Macaca mulatta: one gene and its partners. The protein of the gene in region 1 interacts with the protein of each later gene in a pairwise test. Links are inferred from orthologs where the notes say so. Each region holds a gene or a part of one and is shown in the gene's direction. Other genes may lie near its edges.

Region 1 (8,315 bases):
TAGCAGAAAAGGAAGGTAAAGGAAGAGTAGAGGCTGGGGACAAAATCCTGGGCTTTTGAAATGGGGTAATTTAAGAGTATTCTGAAAGGTACAATGTTACACATGTGTACACAGTCCATAGAGAAAGTGATTTTTCTCTCTATGGGACTGTTGTTTCAACTGTTGTCACAGCTGATAGAAATATGCCATTTAGCCCTTATTCCAGAACCAAGTCCTACTTGACATTGTTAATACTCTTGTTTGTATCCATAGGTTCTGGCAACTAGATTACATCTTTCTTGGATACTAGACCTCCATCTTTTTCTTTTGATGGGGGTGGGGGGTGTTTTAATATGCTGTATCCAAACAGGGGTGGGTGAGACACCCCTGGTCTATGTTTATTATGAATGTTTGCTCATATGATCCCCAACAACACCACATAGTAGAAATATTATTATCCCCATTTACAGATCAAGTGACTGAGGCCCAAAGTCCCATAGTAGCAGGGTTTTCTGTCTCCTGAGCCCACCCTCGTGACACCTGGGTGACGTGGCTGGCACAAACTGGAAATGTCTTGATTGGTTGCAGACACACAACAGGTTCACTGATAGTGCTCTCATTTTTAATCTATAGCCATTAAATCGTTCATTCATTCCACATGTATTGACTGCCTGCTGTGTGCCAGGTGCTATCCTAAGTGCTGAGGATTAGGCTTGAAGAAGGGTGGAAAAGGTGGGTCACAAACAAACCTACGACAGAATGTCCAGTGGTGACACATGCTAGGAAGAAAACTGAAGCACAGTAAGGAAAGAAAGGGTGGCAAGAGATGCAGGGCTGGCCCGAGGGACTCTTCCGCATTCCATGAGTCCTCCCAGGAAGAATTGGAAGGACAAGGGGGGTTTGGTCCTCAAGCATGAAGTGATTTGGGGATGTTACTAGTTTTCTGTGCTGCTGCAGCAAATTACTACAAACTGAGGGGTTTAAAACAATGGAAGCGGCCGGGTGCGATGGCTCATGCCTGTGATCCCAATACTTTAGGAGGCCGAGGTCGGTGGATCACCTGAGGTCAGGAGTTCAAGACCAGCCTGGCCAACATGGTGAAACCCCATCTCTACTAAAAATACAAAAATTAGCTGGGCATGGTGGCAGGTACCTGCAATCCCAGCTACTCGGGAGGCTGAGGCAGGAGAATCACTTGAACCCAGGAGGCAGAGGTTGCAGCGAGCCGAGATCATGCTATTGCACTCCAGCCTGGGTGACAGAGTGAGACTCTGTCTCAAAAAAACAAACAAAACAAAACAAAACAATGGAAGCATATTCTCTCCCGGTTCTAGAGACCAGAAGTCTGAAATTGGTATCAGTGGGCTTGATCCAGGGGTGGGTATCAGGGATCAAGGTGTCACCAGGGCCACACTCTTTCCAGAGGCTCCAAGGGTAAATCTGTTCCTTGCCTCTTCCAACTTGGGGGGCTGCCAGTGCTCCTTGATTTGTGACCTCCTTGCTCCGATCTCTGCCTTTTTGATCACATTGCCTCTTCCTCTTCCTCTTCTGTCTATAATCAAATGTCCCTGCACCTCCTTCTCATAAGCATTTATTTAATTGTATTTAGAGTCCACAGATAAACTAGGCAGATTATACCATCTCAAAATCCTACACTTCATCACATCTGCAAATACCTTTAATTTGCGGACTCAGGTGACATATGAGGTATTATTTACAGGTTCCAGGAATTAGGATGTGGATATTTGGAGGCCATTTTTCAGCCTACCATAGGGAGTTATTTGTGGATTTTATTTTTTTAATGTAAATCTAGTCCCTTTTAACTGACCAAGCCATCTATACTTCTTAAAAAGCACCAATCATGTTCACTGTGGGCAAAAGCTTATGGAGCAGCATCCCTGGAAATTCATCCATGATTGAAAGAAGGAAAGAGGGACAACAGGGGAGACAGAGACACAGCCAGCAATGAATGATCTCTCTTTCTGGTGCCTGTGTTTCATGGAGACAGGGGACTGGGGATGCAGATTCTGTTTTGGCTTGTCTTTTTAAAGGCTGTAGGCCCGGCACAGTGGCTCATGCCTGTAATCCCAAACCTTTGGGAGGCCAAGACAGCCAGATCACTTGAGATCAGGAATTTGAGACCAACATGGCCAACATGGCAAAACCCTGTCTCTACTAAAAATACAAAGATTAGCCAGGCGTGGTGGCACCCACCTGTAAACCCAGCTACTTGGGAGGCCGAGGCAGGAGAATCGCCTGAACCTGGGAGGCGGAGGTTGCAGCGAGCCGAGATTGCGCCACTGCACTCCAGCTTAGGCGACAGAGTGAGACTGTGTCTCAAAAAAATAATAACAATAAAAGCTGTAGACTTTAGAAATGAGAAGTAACTTAGAGATGCTTCCATACTCACTTTTAGGATATTCTGAGGAAGGAAGAGGCGAACATGGTCAGTCTTATATGAAGAGAAGATTTTGTTCCAAAGGAAATGATCGGGAAAAGCCCAGCTTGGGGAGGGGCCAGGGAACAGTGGGCAGGTGGGAAATGAATTCCACCTTCTGCCGGGAAGCCTAAGGGGGCATATCTTTGAGCTAAAAAGAACAGGTCCACGAATCAGAGTTGAGATGTTGAGATTGACCCAGCGGCGGGAAAAGCAACACAGGATAAATTTAGTGTGGTTGAAGCTTGTGCAATGATTCAGGCTGTCACGCTCCTCAGTGTCTGAATCATGGGACACAATAGATCCGCCAGCTTATTCCAGCATCCTTTAACCCTTGAGGAGCAAATGCCCTGGCAAGGAGCCCGCTCAGAATCTCCTCCCGCTCCTGCTGCTGCTGCACAGTGGGCTGTGCCCTGGTGAGGTTCCTGTGTCCTCTGTAGAAGGTAACAGATTAGGAAATGGCAGAAGTCCCTTCTCTGTCTAGCATCCTTCCACCTTCTCATCTGTAAAATGGGGATGAAACACAGAACCCCAGGGTTGGGAGAAAGGTCTGACACAGAGGCAAGTGTCAGTGAACGTCTGAGAACGCTGAAGCAGTGATGGAAATGGGGTGTTCCTGGTTACCAGCGCCCTCTCTGACCCATGTGGTAGTTACCCTTTTGCCAAAGTGTGTGACTATTAATACACTTTGAGTCTCTAGGAAAAAAAAAAAAAAAGCAAACTTAATTCCTACTAAGAGATCACTCACTGTCTTCTCTACCTTTTACGCTTTCTTTTCCAGGTGGTAACAGAAAACAATCCAGATGGGGTGCAGGTGCTGTAAAATAATACAAAGGTAAAGCTGGAGAAATACTACTTCTAAATGGAGGAATTTGTGATGAGCGTGGAGTCACTTTTAAAGACCATGCATGTATTCAGAGCATTTATCCAGCTTGGGGCATGATCGACATTGCCAGCACATTAAGAGTTTGGAACTGTTATCATATCATTGAAAAGAACATGTGCCCTAGATTTTCTTAACTTTTTTTGCTCACTTCTCAAAGCATGTTGGGAACACCATCATTTTCTGAGGCTGAATTTGGTCTGGGTTTCTGAGGATGCCTGAAATGGCATCGCTGAAAATAAATCACCCCAATCACATATGTGCTTTTAATTTTGTCCACACTGCATTTCATAAAACTGTGAGTAACATGAACATAAACTTCTAACTAAGATAAAGGGAAGAAAAGTAACTGATGATCTTGCTTTCTTAACAAATATACTGTCTTTTTAATTGTAGCTCTATTCTAGACCCATACATAAATAAGCTTTATTCCACTGTAATCATAATGTGATGTTTGGCTTTATTCAAAAAATATGTATTGTAAGTATCATTCCTGTGACTGCAGACTTCATATTTATCATTTTAATGACTGCATAATATTCCACTGAGAGGGTATACTCCTTATGGCCCTATTAGTGGACACTTGTTTTATTTATTGTTTTTTGTTTTAAAATTCTATGAACCACTTTGTATTTTACTTTACCCCCTAACCCTCCTTCCTCCTTTTGGCTCTCTTCTTAAGATGTATTTCCGGCAGAACCTTGTTTTTGTTTTTCAAGACTGTCCTGCTCTGTCATCCAGGCTGGAATGCAGGGGCGTGATCTCAGCTCACTGCAGCCTCTGCCTCCCAGGTTCAAGCGATTCTCCTACCTCAGCCTCCCGAGTAGCTGGGATTACAGGTGCCCACCACCACACCCAGCTAACTTTTGTACTTTTAGTAAAGATGGGGTTTCACCATGTCAGTCGGGCTGGTCTCGAACTCCTGACCTCAAGTGATCCACCCGCCTTGGCCACCCAAATTGCTGAGATTACAGGTGTGAGCCACCGAACATTTTTATACCAACTATATCTATTTGATTTAGACACACTTATCTAGGTTGAAAAGAGTAATGACAGAAATTAAATTAGCAGGTTTCGTAGAAAGAAGCAGGGCCTGTGGTAAAAATCTTTAATGATGGAGCAGACCTGACTGGTTTTTCGTTGTCCTCCCTGCAGCTATCTCTTTGATCCAGTTCAAGTGTCCTCTCCTGGCTATGTCAATGAAGTCAACAGCTGCAAGCTAGATGAAGACGACACTGATAAATTAAAAGGCAAATGGAACAGTGAAGTCCTGGTGCAGAAAAATGACTCTCAGAGGCAGGGCTCAAAAAAGACTGAGAGCAGCAGCAGGACAGCTAACCCACGGGAGCCCTGCTGGCCTCACCAAGGGCCGCTCCCGCAGGGGGATGTTGGAGGGGAACACCATGCCTGCGGCATCAATGGCATCGGCCCTGCTGCCGCTCCACAGCCCGCTGGGAATCCCAGCCCTGCCCAGGATGACAGGGGCTCCTGGACCAGTACTGAAAATACTGGAGTTCCCCCAACTCAACCCTTCCTGGAAGGAGGGGACACCAGGAAACAGGACTGTGTGCTGCTGGCCTCAGAAGGAACCCAAGTCATGAGAAATGGAGACTCCAGAGCTCCTTCTGAGGCAGAAAGTTTTGCCTTAGAAGTACAAGACCGTGTCTTCCAGATACCAGCCCCAGATTACCTTCAGCATTGGGGTCCAGCCGGAGACAACATTGACCATAATGAAAAGGACCGTGTTTTCAAGAACCATACTGAGGATGAGTCCCTTGAGGGAATTCAGCCCACAGTGGGGGAGCGTGGTTTGAATACGCCCTTCTCTGGGAGGAGAAGCTGGGATTCATTGAATGAGGATGTGGAAACAGAAGTTCTAAGCATCTGCTTTAATGAGAAGGGTCCTGCTCATGCCATGCCTGTGGTTGACTCAGGAAACAGGCAGGAGGATGCCCATGGCTCCAATGGAGACGGAGATGGGGAGATTGTGGACGAGGATGCAGCGGTGGCGGAGGCCCTTGCGGCTTTAGAAGCTGCTACTGCAGGAGAAGATTTGGATGAGGCTGATTAGGGGAGGGGATTTGCACAGGGAGGTAAGCTGGTGTCGTGCTGAGCATGCAGATGCATTTGCTCCCTGGATGCAGAGCAGGTGATTCTCCCAGCATGCACCAGTGCAGCCTGACCAGTTGTTTACATCCAGCATCTGTTCTGATTGTCAGCATCTGTCCCATGCTGCTTGTCATATATCTGGAGTTTCACTCTGTGTCGATGAGCTGTCATTCAGGACACTAGGAGAAAAATCTGAGTGGGTCATTGTGCCCATATCCACAGAAAGTGCAGAAATTGAACAGCTTGCTTGACAACCCTCAAACATCTTTGAGCACCTGGTACAGATGTTTATGAGAATACTCTAAGATCTCAACCCTTGATCCCAAAGGCACACAATCACAGAGGATTCCTTTTGACTGTAAACTGTTTACCTTGCTTTTGAGAGCCAAACATTGTACCCAACCTGGAAAAAGTAACTACCCCAATTAAAGTGCCTCATGTGTCCCCAGAGCATGGCTTAACTTCAGGGACAATTCACCCAGGGAACTAAGAACTAACCAGTTGTTCAACAGCGGGTTAAGCTCAGCAGTTTTCACAGTAGAGCAGAAGTCCTCAGGAAACAAAAGGTTAGTCATTAGCTGAGATGTGATTTTAAAACACCTTGACCTTAACTTTTTTGCATTATTACTTTTGAATCTCCTTTGGGACTGGGGAGGCTGGCCAAAATAGTCTTAAAACTGCTTGTGTCATATTTGGGTTTTAAGTTCATGACTTTCAGAACAGCAAAGCCATATATGCAATGTTTTTATGCCATTAAATGTCTGACTCTAATTAAAATATAACAACGTATGTGTCTTTCTGTCTTAACTCAAAGGTGGTTCTAATTTTCTCAGAATATCAGTGACCCTAGATATTACTTTCAATGTAAAGAGCTAATCTAGATGGCCGGGCGCGGTGGCTCACGCCTATAATCCCAGCACTTTGGGAGGCCGAGGCGGGTGGATCATGAGGTCAGGAGTTCGAGACCAGCCTGGCCAACATAGTGAAACCGCGTCTCTACTAAAAAATACAAAAAACCAGCCGCGCGAGGTGGCGGGCGCCTGTAATCCCAGCTACTTGGGAGGCTGAGGCAAGGAGAATTGCTTGAACCCAGGAGGTGGAGGTTGCAGTGAGCCAAGATCGCGCCACTGCACTCCAGCCTGGGCGGCAGTACGAGATCCCATCTCAAAAAAAAAAAAAGAGCTAAGCTAAGCACAGTGGCTCATGTCTGTAATCTCAGCACTTTGGAAGACTGACGTGAGAGGACTGCCAAGGCCAGGAATTCAAGACCAACCTAGGTAATTTAGCGAGACCCCATCTCTATGGAAAAAAAAAAAGAGCTAGACTACAAAATTATACTCAAAAAAGGGACCAAGTTGGTTTGCAGAGCCATGACTTTGGCTTTCTCTCTCTCAAGTTAAACTTGATGCCATAACTAAGTGTCCTGATCTTATCACAAAGATGAATTAAGCCCTCTCTGGATTTCAGCCTTCTAATTCATTGAAACAAGGTTAACCATTCTAACATAACTCAATGGAGAATTTAAAGGCATTAAGCATGCTCAAAACTATTTAGAAAAAAAAATAAACATGGAAGATGCTTTAGTTTGGTGTTTTGTAACACAGAATTGAAATTGAACTTCGTTTGATTTCCAGCTTTGCCATGCGACTTTGGGCAAGTTATGTATCCCTTCTCTTTACCCATCTGTGAAGTGAGAATAATAAGAGTATGTGCTTGTAAAGATTAAATGAAATGATGTGTTTAGCCCAGTGCCTGGGACACTAGGCACTCAAAAATGATGTCTTACCGGTTGAAAACAATTCCTTTAAAAAACATTTTTACATCCTCACAACTGAAAACTCTAATACTGGGAGGTGTATATATGTCATTATTTGATTTTGATAATTATTTAGTATAAAACATGATTTCTGAGCCTTCCAGCACCTTTAAGGATGGCACCCTTACAAATGCTTAATGAACATATGTTACCCTGGGTTTGTTTGGTATTGTAATGACAAGCCATCGCAAGTGACCTCTATATACAGGGTCACTCAGAGTCCTTCAAAAGATAAACTCTTGGCATTGTTAATTGCATTAGAGGTATGTCTCCTTTTGTATTTAGTACACCAAATACTTAATATTTCAGAATGCTTATTCCTTCAGTGACTTCCTAAGTGTATCAGTTGGGATTATGTTCGGTTGTATGGGATGAGTGTTTTATACAAATAGAGGTTTATTTACCTCCTATGTAAGAGAAGTCTGGAGTTAGTGATCCAGGGTGGCAGATACAGGGTATCACGGACCCGTGTATCAGTGACCCACGTATCAATGGCCCACGTGTCAATGACCGGCGTATGAATGACCCATGCTTCTTCAGTCATTTTGGTTTCCTTCTCAACGTCACTTTGTAGTCCAAAATGACTGCTGTGGCTTCAGTCATTACATTTACATTCCACGTTGGAAAAGAATAGGTCAAAAACCCCACTCCCACTCTATTAAGGACCTCACAGAAGTATAATTCATCCCTTCCACATATACTCCCTTTGGTCAAAACCTGGTCACTTGGCCACATCTAGCTGCAAAAGAGACTAGGAAAGTTGTCTTTCTAGTGGTGTGCATGGCTTTGCGAAATAAACTCAGAATGCAGTGACTGAGAGGGGGAAATGGACAGTGCGTTTCAAGGCAGTCGGTTTACAGTCTCTGCCACAGGAGGCCTCAAAACCCAAACACCTGGGATACAGCTGGTCTCAAAAGATTAGAAGATTGTGTGTACATTCAGTGTGGTACCAAAGGGGCCTCCACCTTTGGTCCAGGGGAAGGAGGACTGGACAGCTACTGCTGCTCCAACTTCCCATTGATATCTCCAAACCTGACGAAAGAAGAAATTCAGACAAGGAACGGGTAGGGTAAGGTATTAGGGCAGACAAG
Region 2 (8,315 bases), on another chromosome or scaffold:
CACCACATTAATGCTATAACAACACATCTTAAGCCATATTTGGACATCTTGTAAAGGAAACTCCTTTTTAAAAAAAAAAACATAGTTTTTGTTTGTTTGGTTTTTTTTTGTTTTTTTTTTAAGACCAGGTCATTTTTGTATCACAGGCTGGAGTGCAGTGGCATGATCATAGCTCGCTGGAGCCACGAACCCGTGGGCTCAACCTCCCAAGTAGCTGGGACCACAGCCACACCCCACCATGCCTGGCTAAAAAATAGATTCTTTTTGAAATATACGTGGAAGGAAAAGTCATCATAGGCTATAAAAGAAACAGGGTTCAGTCAGACACAGTTTATTGTTATTAATCATTTATCAAAATCAAAATGATTTTCCTGAATAGTATTTGACAGCATTTAAAATGATCCCAGGATTGAGATTGAGATAAATGCTTGTATTGTCTTTTCTCATTTCATCCCACGACCCTTCAGTTTTTGATACTTGAGATCTAATGAGAAGCAAGATGTTATAATGGAAAGAGCAGTAGGAAGAGAAGAAAACTGTATCTGCAGTGATAATCAGTGGAATTGAAGAGGCAGAGGTTAAGTGTGCTTGACACATAAGGAAACAAAAAGATTGTCTTCTGATTAAGATCGTAAATTGTGTTTCTATTTTGTTGTTTAATATTAGGGCAAAAAGGAAATTCATCAGCATAATGATTAAAATTGGCAGGCTTCCTAAAGGAAACAAACATCAAATGTGATTACAGAATTTACTGGGAAAAACTGAAATCTGAAAATTAACTCTGGCTTTGGTAAACTGAGAACTCTATGCAGAGTCTTGAAATGGCTACAAAATTTTAGTGTCCTGGGGAGTCTAAGTCTAAGTAACATAGAACCAATGCAAACTCAATGAAACAAGCTCAAAAGGTAGTAAAAGTTTAATGATGTTCTAGAAACCAGTGAAGGAAATATTCTTGCTACAAAAATAAACTAGGAAATGAAAATCATTGTGTGGGAAAATAGTTAAGATATTATTATATAGGTTCAGTAAAACCTTTGAAGTAAATCCTTTTTTATTTTTCCTGGCATTCTCTTAATATAAATGAAAAGAATATGCAAAATGCTAGTCAGATGGGTTATTGCTTGATCCTTGAATTGCAATATTAGTGCATTAGGCCAAGACGGGCGGACCACGAGGTCAGGAGATCAAGACCATCCTGGCTAACACGGTGAAACCCCATCTCTACTAAAAAATACAAAAAATTAGCCGGGCGAGGTGGCGGGCGCCTGTAGTCCCAGCTACTCGGGTGGCTGAGGCGGGAGAATGGTGTAAACCCGGGAGGCGGAGCTTGCAGTGAGCTGAGATCCGGCCACTGCACTGCAGCCTGGGCGACAGAGCGAGACTCCGTCTCAAAAAAAAAAAAAGCTTAAAAAATTCTCAAGATATTTCAAGTAATGAGAATAGTAATTGATAGATTACTAAAACATATCTAATCCATATATCTTTATTAATTCAATTGCAAGAGAGTGTAAAGAAGGTATAGAAAACACTAAGTTCTTTCTATTCAAATGGAAAATGGAACCTTAGTCATAATAAAGAGTTGGGTGCACAAGCTCTAACAAAGCCTTAGTGAATGCCATCATGACACCTGCTTTACAAAGATTTCTGCCCTTAAAACTTATCAGTGTAAGACGTTCCCAAAAGATTCTAAACAGTTAAACTTTGGCTTTAAAATGTTGATTCCTTATCTGTATTTCAAAACTAGTTTTCTCTTTATTATAGGCTGAAAAGGAAAATCCAGGTCTCACACAAGACATCATTATGAAAATTTTAGAGAAAAAAAGTGTAGAAGTTAACTTCACGGAATCCCTTCTTCGTATGGCAGCTGATGATGTAGAAGGTATCAGAAAGAAGAACCTTGCTTAAATTATACAATTGTTGAATAGCACTTCCTCTAAATCATTATTATTTGACTAAAGGAACTTCCTTCCCTACTGTTCCCCCCCCCCCACCCCCCGCCTGCCTTTACTTACGATGATGCTGGTGGTGGTGGTGGTGGTGGTAATAGTAGAAGTAGGAGTAGAAGCTAATCTAGATAAAATAGAAAAATTGTTTTTCTTGCTTTTTATATTTGTGAGATTTAATTACTTGAACTTTGTTTATACCTCATTCTTTAATTTTTCCCCCTTTATGTTTGATGAGTTTCAGTTTTACTAAAAACCTTTTAGTAAAGCTATTTGGAATGTGTTGACTTTAAGCAAACAATAGTTTGGAAGTAATGAGGTTTTTGTTTGCTTGTTTTTTTAACTTTAGTACAGCATCTTTTTTTAAGCACAGATTTAAGGGAACAATATAACCATGCTTTTCTTATTTTTTTACTTCAAATTATTTAGACATTGGTTTTACTTTAGTAGAAGTTCTCCCACTAATTTAGAAAAACGTGGACACACGATTTCCCATAATTATTAAGGGAGAACAAAAAGCAGATATTTTAACTGATTCCATGATTATAAAAAAGCCCTTATCATTATTTAGAGTTGAGCATTTGCAGCCCATTAGGCCATTATATATTGATGAATTGGTAGATTTGTAATGCTTCCAAGTCTGCAATGAATCTGGTAAAGTCTGATTGAACCTCCTTTCCAAAACTGCTGTTCTGTGATCCCAGCCCGTGTGTTGGATTTGTGCTAATGTTTTTGTTTTTAAGTGAGATTTCAAGAATATGTAGAAGATTTTATTAGATTATTTGGGGTTTTAATATAATGAAGCAATGTATATTTAATATAGGGGTTTAGAATTTTTAATCTTTCTAATTGGAAAGTAGATATTACCTTTGCGCTAGTTATGACACTCATTATTTAATTTAAGGTTTCCTTGGGAAATGTAAAGCCTGCCTTTTCAATCTGTTTTTTTGTTTGTTTGTTTGCTTTTTTTTTTTTGTAAGATTTCATGGGATTTCCTTTTATCCCAAATTGAAAATATTTGTATTTTCTTTTTCTGATACTTTACTTGAAGGGAGCCCTGCTGTTATTACTGGACTAAGTCGAATGTTAATGAATTCTACTTTGCAACCTTGTCTTTCCTATTTATCTGGCCTTTCACCTCCCCCACCTGCCTTTGACCAACATTGGGAATTCTTAGAAGTGAATTTGGCAGAGTCGCAGGATGTTTTTTATTATGTATTTATTTTTTCAGAGTATATGATTGAGCGACCAGAGCCAGAATTCCAAGACCTAAACGAAAAGGCACGAGCACTTAAACAAATTCTCAGTAAGATCCCAGATGAGATCAATGACAGAGTGAGGTTTCTGCAGACAATCAAGTAAGCAATTTTTTGTTTTGTTTCTTTTCTTAAAAGTACTTCCGAGGAACTATTCATCTACATTTTTTAATTTTGGTATGACATTAACTTGAAATGCTAATTTGAAATAAAATCTCGAATTGTTAAATACTGCATTTTATTAACTTTATGGCATTTGGTTTCAGAGTACAACATTTTTTAGAGTGTTTAATTTTAAAACAATAATGAAATGTGCGTAAACTGGAATGTAGTTTGAACTACATAAATGATGGGAAAATATAAATGTCAGATAAATGGAGAAACTGGATATATCCTAGAGATTGGTAGTAAGAGATACCAAAATTGTTTTTATTTCAGAAATGGCAGCAGTCATTAACGTAAGTAATGTACTCTTAGGCATGAGTAGCATTTTCTAAGACTGACCAAGTAGCCTCTAAATCCTTGCCTTTGGGGGATATAGGTTAAATAAGACCAAGAATATGCAGGGGCCAGGAGGCTGGCTGGTGAGCAGCAGGCAGAAGGGTCATCCTAGAGAAGTAGTTCTCAGACCCGGGACACCCTCCTGGAGTACAGTGAGGAGTGAGAGGGTAGGGGATTGGGTGAAAACATAATCCCTACATAAGTATCTTTAAACTAGAGAGTATGATAATTTTCTTCAGCCTCAGTGAATAGAAAACAAAGCTGGAAATACTTGCAGTGTCACTATCAGTGCATGGTTTTGGTGAAACCATAGGTGGATATTACTGGGAAGGAGATTTAGCACAGGTCTTTTTCTGGAAGAGGCTCTGACATATTTGGTAACTTTGAAGAACCTAAGGAGACTCAATTGGAATAAATAGTAACATTCATCTTTTGGAGATTGGGCAGTGGGAGGAGTGGCAGTAGCCAGGCAGCCCAGCTTCATGAAGGCCCTCAGTATGCCTTGGCCCACATGCATCCGATATGTGCCTTCCCCACTTCCAGGATGCCCAAGAGGACTGTCAGCTCAGCTGACAGGACAGTGAAGGAAAAGCCCAGAAGGAGATGGATATGGTTGTCAGCTAAACCTGCTCTTTCAGTAGTGGAAATGAATCCCCAAAGGGTAGCAGGATAGGATAAATCTTCAGGTAAAAAAGCGCAAACAAAAGAAAAGAATAGCAAAGTGAAAACAGGCCAAAGTGGCTAACCAAGAATATTTACCTGCGGAAAACAGAAAAACTAAAACTGAAGAGAGTCCAGCCTCTGAAGCAGGAGAGAAAGAAGCCCAGTCTGATTAATATCGCATACCATGTCTTATCAGTGGTTCCCCGTCTCTCTTCTTACATAATCCAGAGGAATATTTTTATCAACTATGTTGTAAATGCAAGTTTTTTAGTAACTCTAGAAACATTTAAGGAGTAAATTCCACCTCATCCCATTTTTTCGGTGTAAATGCTTTTTTTTTTTAAGAGGTGAAATAATGTAATTTGTGGTTATTTTTTGGTACAATGAGAAAATAATGTTGGATATTGAATTATGGGAAGCCTTGATTGTTATGGGTGTCAGCTTAACATTCCATAAATGGGTGGTTAGTTTTTATATCCCATAATACAAAGCATACTAAATGGCAAAGTGGAGTTGCAGTGCTGCGTTTAATGTCTTGAACATTTTTAATTACTCACTCTGTCACCCAGGCTGAACTGCAGTGGCGTGATCATAACCTACTGCACCCTCAACCTCCTGGGCTCAAGCAATCCTTCCACCTCAGCCTCCTGAGTAGCTAGGACTACTAGTGTACACCACCACACTAGGCTAATTTTTTTTTTTTTTTTTTTTTTTGATATTTAATAGATACCACGTCTCCCTACATTTCCCTAGCTGGTCTCTAGCTTCAAAGCTCAAGTGATCCTCCTGCCTTGGCCTCCTAAAGTGTTGGGATTACAGGAGAGAGCCACCACACCTGACCTTAAATTACTTCTTCCTGTTGTTTTTTAGTGGAATTATTTCCTTGGGCAAACCACTCCTTGAGCCTGGCTCTCCCTTTCAGAATTGTGTGCACTCTGTAACATCTTTGGTCATGGTAGTCCTGTTTTTCTAATAATTTTGTTAATGTGCTGTGAAAGATTAAAGTATATAGTGTATATGCTATTAAATTGTGAATTGGTGGGATGTATGTGACAGCTTATCAACATTTGAAGGTACTGGTACTTGATAGCCTCTGAAGGAAATTTTGCCTCAGTTGTAAGCTGGAAAGTCACTGGAATAACTTTAAAGAATAATAAGGATACGTGGCTTTTTAGATTTTGCAGTACGTATGTTCAGAATTGTGTACAAGTTGAAATGTCTGTGTACTGATCCTCAACACAACAGATAAAATCTCAATTATGAAAGAAAAAGAAAACATTCATCTTTTGAAAATAGTATTCTTTGTCGTTCACATTGAGAAATGCTATTTTAGCTTGTTTGGATACCTAGCTAGTTTGGATACTATCTTTTGAGTCACATAAAGAGAGGAATATGTCCCCTAGAAAATAATGGTGTGTGATAGGTATGCCACCCAGCTATCAAGGAATGACCCTACTCTTTGACAATAATTAAGTACCAGGAATGTGAAAAAGGCTTTTAATTGAATAGCCAAAATCTGTGTCACAAGGGACAAACCCTAAGGATTTTTTTATTTGTTTGTTGGGTTTTTGTTTTTGTTTTTTCGAGACCGAGTCTTGCTGTGTCGCCCAGGCTGGAGTGCAGTGGTGCTATCTTGGCTCACTGCAAGCTCCACCTGCTAGGTTCACACCATTCTCCTACTTCAGCCTCCCAAGTAGCTGGGACTACAGGTGCCCGCCACCATGCTCGGCTAATATTTTGTATTTTTAGTAGAGACGGGGTTTCACCGTGTTAGCCAGGATGGTCTCAATCTCCTGACTTTGTGAGCCACCCACCTCGGCCTCCTAAAGTGCTGGGATTACAGGCATGAACCACCGCACCCAGCCTATGGGGTTTTTTTTGTATTCTACCTTTCCTATAGGAAAGCCCCAGCTTCCTTTTCTGCTTTTAATATGTGAAGGGGGAAGGTAATCCACTGTTTATGGAGTTTTATTTTTAATCTGGTACAAGTTGAGCATCCCTAATTTGAACATCAGAAATTCTAAATGCTCCAAAATCCGAAACTTTCTGAGCACCGTGACATGACACCATAAGTGGAAAATTCCACGTCTGACCTCATGTGATGGATGGATTGTAGGCAAAACACAATCAAAACTTTATTTTATGCACAACATATATGCATATATGGATGCACTTTATAAAACATAAATGAATTTCATGTTTATACTTGGGCCTCATCCCCAAGTCTAAAGACTTCTGGTCTCAAGCATTTCATTTAAGGGGTACTCGCTGTGTATAAAGTAAATATGTTTGGCCTGTAAAAGGATAAAGTCAATGATCCCAAACTTGATTGTTTAGACTATTTATTTCTAAAGTTTTCAAATAATTTGGTAAGTTTTCATTTGCATTGATAATCATGGACTTGTTGATGAGCCATGATACATTTCTATGAAGATTTGACATTTAAAATAATATTTGCAGCAGATTTTGCTTCACATCATCAAAGTACATTTATATAATCAATGTCATCTTAATAGCAATCACTTATATAGTACTTATTATATGCTAAGCACTATTTTAATCATTTTACATATATTTACTTATCACAACAACCCAGTAACAAGTGAGGAAATTGAAGCAGGCACAGAAAATTAGGTAAGGCCACAGACCTTACCTATTAAGTGGTAGAGCTGGATTTGAACCCAGGCAACCTAACGCCAAGTTCACTGCTGTTTCCCAATCATCGATTTACAATGTTGATCTAATTTGGAGATTGAAAAATAAAGTTTCTGCCATTTGAAAGAAATGTGATAAAGGATATTTTAACATAGGATGCCAGTACATGAGAGAGATAACGGTGTTGTGGTTGAAGCTGAGATAGAAGTGTAGGCCCAGAGCCCTCATCCTGTCACTTTGACATCCTCTTTCCCCCTACAGAGTCCCTGAGACATCTCTGCTAAACCGTGACTCTAGGGAGCTACCGTTTGAAAACCACATTATTAACAGCACATTTTAGTCATAAGGAAATTGAGCTTAAGAGTCTTGTCCATAATCATTGACAGAGACTTTCTGTAGGATGTTGTTTCATTTATGAGGGAGTAATAATACTTCAGTTCTGTTGTCTAGAGTGTACTCATTTAGCATGATTGAATTAAGGGTAATGGTGGCAATGAAAATTTACTTCCTAACCATTTGAGGAGGGATAATTTACCCTGGCAAGTTTGTTGATATGTATGTTATTTCTGAGACTAAAATTCAACCACATATGAATAGCATAGATAGGCTAAGGTATAATTATTTGTATACTGTCATATATTGGTACATTTTCATATATGTTCTTACCACTATTAATTGACAAATTAGTGGATAAAATTGCACCAAGATAGAAAATTATTTCTCCTTTAGGCATTTCTCAAATATTTTACTTTCTTGTATCTAAGGTAGTTATCCCCTTTATTCACTTTAGCAACATTTTTCAGTAAGCATATGTCATACACATATTACACCAAGTACTATAGGTGATGCTGTAGATTGTATCAAAGTACAAGTAAAAAAGATTCCTGACACCTAATAAATATTCAGGCAGTTTTGAATATATTAGCAGACCTAGATTTGAATCTCCATTCCAACATTTAGCTATGTAACCTTGGATATAAGTTGCTTAACTTCTGTCATTTTAGTTTGTGCCTCTGAAAGTAAGGATAATGACTTGGGAGAATTGAAAGAAATTATGTACATGAAGTGCCTAGCACAGAACCTAGCATACATTCAACAGTACATGCTATAATAGCGTTGTGAAATGAGAATTTTCCTCCCTTTTCTCAACGGAGTTGATTAGGAAAAATGATCCAGCAAATATTTTAAAAGGCCTTTTTTTTTTTTTTTTTTTTTTTTTTGAGACGGAGTCTCGCTCTGTCGCCCAGGCTGGAGTGCAGTGGCCAGATCTCAGCTCACTGCAAGCTCCGCCTCCCGG
Region 3 (8,315 bases), on another chromosome or scaffold:
TCTGCATGTAATTTGGAAGGTTCGGTTTCGCTCTTATGGCTAAATACCATTTGACCACCTTCATCTTCTTGCGGGCAGTGAAATATTGTGGCATTTGCCTGGATTTTTTTTCCTTGCAAAATTAAGTTCAGTACAGAAATCTCTTCTTTTGCTGAAGCATTTATGTCCCTGAATATTTTGTAGAATCTTTATATATTACTCAGCACACTTCATGTTGATGTGAGTTTGTATATGTATCTATTTGCTGCCTGTACTATAGGTTAAATTATATTTTTTGGACCCTTTGCAAAGCAAAAGCCTGGTCTGATATGGTTGACCTAAAAAATCGGTGCAGTTTTTGTTTCAGCAGTGTGGATGGAGAAGCATGTTAGAGTTTATTACTGATTACCTGGATATGGAGAGGTGACAGCTATTTCTGCTTTACAGAAAAGATGGTGTGGATTTTGTTTATCCACAGCCTTGCCTAGAAAAGATAAGAGATGGTTTGTAGGGACATATAAAAAATAAGATCATATAAATCAGAAGGAGGTTGGAATGTCTATAGTAATTCTCTTCATTTTAAAAATTTTAGGTAAGTAAAATACTTTTATGTCTGTAGGTTGTTTGCTTGCCATATTGCTTGCCATTATTACAAGAGGGGGAAGTTAATAGTTTATCATATTTTATAAAGTATTTCTTGAAATATATTTCCAGGTAAATTAGTCTTAGTATTAATCAGTTTATTTGGGGGACTTAAATATATTCATTAGAAAGTTATCTTCTTTTTCAGATATATAATGAAAAGGAATTATTACAAGGTAAATTGGACCTTCTTAGTGATACCAACATGGTAGACTTTGCTATGGATGTATACAAAAACCTTTATTCTGATGATATTCCTCATGGTAAGTTTTGTCATTAGAATTGAAGCTTGTCTTGTGACTTGAGGATATGTGTATTAAAGTTTTATGATTTATAAGAGAGCTTTAGCCAAAAGACTTAATTATTATTTGAATGTTAATGTTCTTTGGGTGAGAGGTTATATAAAGGTTTCATGTCTTCTGAAGTGTATTGTTTTTTCCCTGTGAAAGATGTGGAACTACTTTAAAATATGGTCATCAGATACCTTCAGTTCATAGTATGTATCATCAAAGTTGTGCTTATGATTCACATTCCTTAGAATTTTCTGAGAATGTTGCAGTTCTTGGGTTGCTACCTTTTTTAGTTACTGCATTGTGTGCCTTAGAGATTTTTATTTTATTTTAATTTTGAGGCATCTAGTGTAGACATTGTTCTCCAAATATGGTCCCCAGGACCACCGTCATCAGTTCACCTGGGAGAGCTTGTTAGAAATGCAGGTTTTTGACCACACACCAGACCTACTTAATCAAAACTGTTAAGTGAGGCCTAGCACTCAAGTTGGGGAACTACTGTGATACAGTGTTTTCCAAACCCTTGCTTTCTGTGGTAACGTTACTTAAAAAAAAAAAAAAAAAGTGGTTCTCTAGGTTTGGGAAATACTTCTGTGTCATTTCTTCAATGCACATTACATTTTTAAAGATTCCAAGAATTCTGGCAGTAGAGAAATACAGTATACTCTGTTTAAATTGGCATTTCTCAAAATTTGATCATAGATCTTCTCCTGTGTTTGAGAAAGACTGCTCTAGAATATACTTTCTAATATGTAATGCAGAAATTATTACATTAAACATAATCCACCTGTTTGACTTGTAGTTCCCTGCAACAACAGTAGCTCTTCTTTAGTTTGTCATATATAAACAAAAAGGAAACTGTTTCTTAGTTTCTTTTTTCTTTTTTTTTTTTTGAGACAGAGTCTCTCACTCTTAGGCAGGGTGGAGTGCAGTGGCGTGATCTTGGCTCACTGCAGCCTCCACTTCTCAGGTTCAAGTGATTCTTCTGCCTCAGCTTCCTGTGTAGCTGGGACTACAGGCACGCGCCACCATGCCTGGCTAATTTTTATATTTTTAGTAGAGATGGGGTTTCAGCATATTGGCCAGGCTGGTCTCGAACTCCTGACCTCGTGATCAGCCTGCCTTGGCCTCCCAAGTTCCTGGGATTACAGGCGTGGCGCCACTGCCCCCGGCCTATTTCTTAGTTTCTTAATGAAACATTAAGGTGTTACCAGAGTTGGTTATGTGCAAGTTTTCTCCACCTTTTCATCGTATAGTAAAAGGAACAATAGAATTTGGTTTGAGAGGTTATAGAGCTGGATTTATAGTTAAAAGAGATTATTTAATGGATTTAAATTCCATTCAACCTAGTGGATAGCCTGTAATAGTAATATGTAAGCCCCTCAGAGTTTTTGTTCAAAAACTCCTGGATAATATTCACCTAAGAAAATTAAATGGGAACAAATATAAAAACCCTTGGAATGAAGTTTCTGCAATGGAGAATTAAATGATAGATAATTGGGTCCTACCCTTTTTTTCTTTCACCTCTGTCACCCCAAGGCTGTATATTCTCCAGTTACCCTTAAGAGTAGAAAGAGGATTCCCTTTTCCTTTTTGTGGCTTTGTATTACTAGAAAAAAGAAATTAGGGATTGGGGGACACTTCTGAGTGAGTAGCCCCTGGCATATGAATATATTGGGGATGAGTAAATGTATGTATGGTTTAAATACTCTGAACAATTTCCAGACATTCTCATGATGAGTAGCACACTTTAACATGCCCATTGTAGTACTCTTTTGCATTTTTAATTAGCTTTGAGAGAGAAAAGAACCACAGTGGTTGCACAACTGAAACAGCTTCAGGCAGAAACAGAACCAATTGTGAAGATGTTTGAAGATCCAGAAACTACGAGGCAAATGCAGTCAACCAGGTAAACTCTTCTTAATTTTGAATTCGAAAAATTCTCGTTTCTGGATTAATACAAATGTTAATTCAAACTTTATCCAGTATCCCACAGTAAAAGTTCATAGGTTTAAATGAGTGCTTTATTCATTTTTAAATGTTCATTTATCCTTATTTTGTAGGGGCCAGTATAATTAATAAATATTAATATTAATACTGTTTTTTTTTTTTTAAAAAACTTCTTTAGTACTTATCTGTACTGATTATGCTACAGAATTTCCATCTCCTATTTCCCTCTTCCTGGGGACATTTGGCAATGTCTGGAGATACTTTCGGCTGTCATAACTGGGGGGTGCTATTGGCACCTAGTGAGTAGAGACCAGTTATGCTGTTAAGCATCCTACAGTGCACAGGACAGCACCCCTCCCGCTACTCCCCAACAAAGAATTACCTAACTCAAAATGTCCATTAAGAAACGCTGTGCCACTGTGTGGTGGCTCACGCCTGTAATCTCAGCACTTGGGGAGGCAGAGGCAAGCGAATCGCTTGAGCCTAGGAGTTCGAGACCAGCCTGGGCAACATGGTGAAACCCTCTATCTACCAAAAAAATAAAAGCAACAAAAAATTAGCCAGACGTGATGGCGTACGCTTGTAGTCTCAGCTACTTGCTACTTGGGAGGCTGAGGTCAGAGGATGGCTTGAGCCCAGGAGGTGGAGGTTGCAATGAGTCAGTGTCATATCACTGCATTCCAAAGTAGGTGATGTAGTGAGATACCATCTCAGGAAAAAATAAAAAAGAAACCCTGTGCCTGTGCAATACCTAGCGCTTTAGAGCACAACTCGTTATAAGAGAAACCTGAGTTCACTTTATTCCTGGCTACATTCTTTCATACCCTTCTAAGCTCCATGCCTCGCCCAAGGAGGGTAGTTTTGAGCTGATAAGATTATTTTATTCCTAACTTCCCTTTACCTGGAAGTAGATTTACTGTTTCGTAAGCATGTTGCCTTACTCTGACTTAGTACATGTCACGGGTAGAAGTCCTTTGGGTTATTAGAAACATTTAAAAATAAAATCTCTTACTAAAATTGAATATTATCATTTGAGATAAATCCTAGCTACCATTGAATTCACTTGAGGAATTGCTGGATATTTTGCCATGTTATACCTTTAATTTCTATGTGTTTAAACCAAATTTTTAGAGATTGGCTCTTAAGTTTTCCTTTGTGATTTGTGAAGATGTTACCAGATATTTTTAGAAAAGCAACAAATACACAATTACTGTGCCATACTATAGCATACTATACTATACTATGACATATACTACATATAAATACAGTCAACTCTCTGTTCTGCATCTGTGGATTCAACTAACTGCAGATTGAAAATATTCAGGAGAAGAACCTAAAAAATAACAATACTGCAATAAAAAATACAAATAAAACTACAGTATAACAACAACTATATGATATTTACGTTGCGTTAGGTATAAGTAATCTAGAAATGATTTAAAGTATATGGGAGGATGTGTATAGTTTACATGCAGGTACTGTGCTATTTTACATAAGGGACTTAAGCACCTGCAGATTTTGGTATTTGAGGGGGCTGGTGAGTAGAGGGTAGGCGAGGTCTTGGAACTAATGCTCTGGGGATACCAAGGGATGACTATATGCAGGAAAACACGCACACAGAGAGATATATATATACACACACATTACATGCATAGGCAGAACTATATATTATACTAAACTACTTGTATGCTTTTAGAATAAGTAGTTTTAGATCTTCAGGTCACATGTAGGTGATTACAAAGGGACACCTGAAATAATCCAGTTGTTAGACTACAACAGAAAATTTAGGATGTTGTAGTTCAGTCACTCAAAGACTGGGGAGTTATGGGATCAAAGTATGAATAAGATGAATGTAGATATGTTCACCAGTTAGAAAAAGAGGATCCTTGTAGCTTAATAGGTACTGAATTTGAGATAAATGAAAGGATCATGTGTTAAAAACTTGTAATCTTATTATACTTACAAACTACCTATTTTCAATGTGAAAACCTTTTTCTTGCAATTCCCCCTTTTTAAATTTCATTGAACATATAGTATCATACTTAACACTTTCCCGGAAATAATCAGCCAGAGGACAGTGATTATATACGTGAGTGGTGTAAGTAGTGCAATACAAAGTTATTCACTGTGATCCACTGCAAGTGTTCAGTTTTTGTGGAAGTTCTTCTGTGTTGGAATTTCATGTACATTTCATACTCAGTATTATAATACACCTATATTTTTATGGGGACATATCTCACCCCATTAAATCTTCAAGCAAAATTGTGCTCCCTAAGATACATTGTAGCATATTTCTTCTGTGAGAAGGATAAGAAAATGTTTTCATTTTGGAACATGCAGTCAGGTGCAGTGGCTCACACCTGTAATCCCAGCACTTTGGGAGGCCAAGGTGGGCAGATCCCTTGAGGTCAGGAGTTTGAGACCAGCCTGGCCAGCATGGTGAAACTTCATCTCGGTGGCTCACGCCTGTAATCCCAGCGCTTTGGGAGGCCGAGGCGGGCGGATCACAAGGTCAGGAGATCGAGACCACGGTGAAACCCCGTCTCTACTAAAAATACAAAAAATTAGCCGGGCGCGGTTGTGGGCGCCTGTAGTCCCAGCTACTCGGGAGGCTGAGGCAGGAGAATGGCGTGAACCCGGGAGGCGGAGCTTGCAGTGAGCCGAGATCGCGCCACTGCACTCCAGCCTGGGCAACAGAGCGAGACTCCATCTCAAAAAAAAAATACAAAAATTAGCTGGGCATGGTGGTGCATGCTTGTAATCTCAGCTACTTGGGAGGCTGAGGCAGGAGGATTGCATGAACCCGGGAGGCGGAGGTGGCAGTGAGCCGAGATCGTGCCAGTGAACTCCACCCTGGGCGACAGAGTGAGACTCCGTCTCAAAAAACAGTAACAACGAAAATGCTCATAAGGTGGGCAGCTACCCTTATATCCCCTGTCCCTTGATGTCTTTATTATCAGTTTGTCTTTTACCAGTCTGTCAGCATCTCAAGATAACACAAAGCTAATTTAAGAAAAATTAAATATGGCACTTGGTTATACCTAATGATTATGTAGGGTATGTAGCATAGCTGTCATGTACATGAGACATGATTTTTTTATTTTTATTAATTTTTTTGAGACAGTCTCACTCTGTCACCCAGGCTGGAGTGCGGTGGCGCCATCTGTGTTCACTGCAACCTCCAGCTCTCAGGTTCAAGCGATTCTCCTGCCTCAGCGTCCCAAGTAGCTGGGATTACAGGCACCCGCCACCATGCCTGGCTAATTTTTGTATTTTTAGTAGAGATTGGGTCTCACCATGTTGGCCAGGCTGGTCTTAAACTCCTGACCTTAGGTGATCCACCTGCCTCAGCCTCCCAAAGCCTTCCAAAGTGCTGGGACTACAGGTATCAGCCACTGTGGCCAGCCAGGCATGATTTATTAATCTTGTAAATTTGTCAGAATCATCCTTTTGAAAAATATTAACAGATTGGAAGAGGGGACAAAATTTGTATATAGGATTAGTTTCTTGTAGTTTGTACATGGTACATTTATATCAGTCTCTATAATTAGACTGCATTATCTATTAGAAATCTGACCACAGAGAGCAAAAACCATTCTTAATAGATTACCACTAAGTAGACTTCTGACCTTACTAGAAATAGTCAGAATCTTCTGGTTTTATTACCTGACAGACTTCTAAAGGCCTTACGTTAGTCGTGGTGAAACAACACTAATTTTCAATTAGAACTAAAGACATCTGAAAGTGAATTTTAAAGTTTGTAGCTCTCCTTGTATACTTACTAATTCTTTACATTCAAAACATGTAATGTCCTGCTTATTTTATTCTGGAAGTCTTATAACGTTTACGTACTTATTTAAGGTGACTTTGCATAGGTAATAATTTAGAAGTTGGATATGCTTATATTGTTTTCTGTGGCCTTTAAAATACTGTAATTTTTTTTAATTATCATTTAGGGATGGTAGGATGCTCTTTGACTACCTGGCGGACAAGCATGGTGTAAGTGTTTTAAAAATAATTTAAAGTTGTTATGTTTTAATAATGCTGACTAAAGACTGGTTTGTACAGATAGGCTCATGGCTTGGCCTAAGAATATAATTTCCAGATTAATTTATTAATGATAAAATCTGGTTCTATTTTTAAAACTTCAGTTTTTATAAATTGTTGCTGATAGGAAAATAGGTGCTTATAGCTCACCTTTAGGTAACAGAAATTCTCAAAGCTTTTATTTATTCCAGAGTTGTAATAGCTGGCAGTAGTTGTTGGCATTTTATATTAGTGCCAACAGCAAGCTAAGTATTATATATTATAGGGCATAGGATGCCTTTTCTTATGGATTAACAAGTAAGGCAAACAGAATGAAATTTGAATTAGAAATGTTTTGAGCAATAGAATTAGGTAATACTTTGGCCGCCTTGTGGAACACAATGGCCTTTGAAATTATCAAAGTCTTTATAAGTCCCCAGATTCACAAAGAAATGTTAGAAGCTTTCCTAACCATCACTCAATCTCATTTCCCTTGTGTTAACTCAAAGCATGAGGCTTTGCATATAATTCATTATTTAAGGGGTCCCCAACCCCCCCAGGTCATGGACCAGTACCAGGGGGCCACAGAGCAGGTGATTAGAAGGTGAGCAAGCATTACCATCTGAGCTCTGTGTCCTGTCAGATCAGTGGAGGCATTAGATTTTCATAGGAGCACGAACCCTATTGTGAACTGCGCAAGCAAGGGATCTAGGTTGCACGCTCCATATGAGAATTCAACTAATGCCCTGATAATCTGAGGTGGAACAGTTTCATCCTGAAACCACCTCCCCCAGCACAACCCCCGTTGATTTACTTCTTAAACTCCAGAGGTCAGTTCTTTAAGTCGCCCAAAAGCTGCCACCAAAAATAAATACCATAATCAGAGATAGATTTTAAAATATACATTAGAAGTTGGTGAATTAAACATTCATAGTTTTGACCTCAAAGACTTACGAATTACAATGGGGTTTTAAAACTCTGAATTAAAGAGAACCTAATCTTTTTTTTTTCTTTTTAGTTTAGGCAGGAATATTTAGATACACTCTACAGATATGCAAAATTCCAGTACGAATGTGGGAATTACTCAGGAGCTGCAGAGTATCTTTATTTTTTTAGAGTGTTGGTAAGTATAAGTACTTGATTTTTTTTTTTTTTTTGTCTTTTGTAAGATTCCCTTGGTTCTTCAAAATGTGTATATAGATTTGCGTTTGTTCATTAAGTTTTCAACAGTCATTAGCCAAAGAGAAAAAAGTAAAGAAAACCACTGAAAAACAGAAACCTTGTTTCAGGGCCTGAAAATTTGGAGGGTGATTTAACTTGTCCTTGAAATCCAAAAGTAGGAACAATTTTATGATTTTTAGCATTAACAGAATCATATCATGTAATGGATTTATTATTATAATATTATACAGCACAGTGAGTGGCACG

The links.
Region 2: the proteins of C5H4orf19 (region 1) and PDCD10 interact in binary tests that used the Homo sapiens proteins (3 or more experiments, as listed by UniProt). The two-hybrid records come from large-scale screens. The link is inferred for Macaca mulatta from reciprocal best matches to the Homo sapiens genes PGCKA1 and PDCD10.
Region 3: the proteins of C5H4orf19 (region 1) and EIF3E interact in binary tests that used the Homo sapiens proteins (3 or more experiments, as listed by UniProt). The two-hybrid records come from large-scale screens. The link is inferred for Macaca mulatta from reciprocal best matches to the Homo sapiens genes PGCKA1 and EIF3E.

The regions. Positions count from the first base shown.
Region 1 is NC_133410.1:36,811,641-36,819,955, forward strand, and holds the end of C5H4orf19 (PDCD10 and GCKIII kinases-associated protein 1), read left to right. Parts: intron 1-3,197; 5' UTR 3,198-3,219; coding exon 3,220-3,251; intron 3,252-4,454; coding exon 4,455-5,370; 3' UTR 5,371-6,057; downstream 6,058-8,315. UniProt on the Homo sapiens protein: Acts as a tumor suppressor. Acts as a tumor suppressor for colorectal cancer cell proliferation by targeting KEAP1/USP17/ELK1/CDK6 axis.
Region 2 is NC_133407.1:79,300,206-79,308,520, reverse strand, and holds part of PDCD10 (programmed cell death protein 10), read left to right. Parts: intron 1-1,761; coding exon 1,762-1,879; intron 1,880-3,174; coding exon 3,175-3,301; intron 3,302-8,315. UniProt on the Homo sapiens protein: Promotes cell proliferation. Modulates apoptotic pathways. Increases mitogen-activated protein kinase activity and STK26 activity. Important for cell migration, and for normal structure and assembly of the Golgi complex.
Region 3 is NC_133413.1:118,487,266-118,495,580, reverse strand, and holds part of EIF3E (eukaryotic translation initiation factor 3 subunit E), read left to right. Parts: intron 1-769; coding exon 770-884; intron 885-2,702; coding exon 2,703-2,820; intron 2,821-6,817; coding exon 6,818-6,860; intron 6,861-7,905; coding exon 7,906-8,010; intron 8,011-8,315. UniProt on the Homo sapiens protein: Component of the eukaryotic translation initiation factor 3 (eIF-3) complex, which is required for several steps in the initiation of protein synthesis.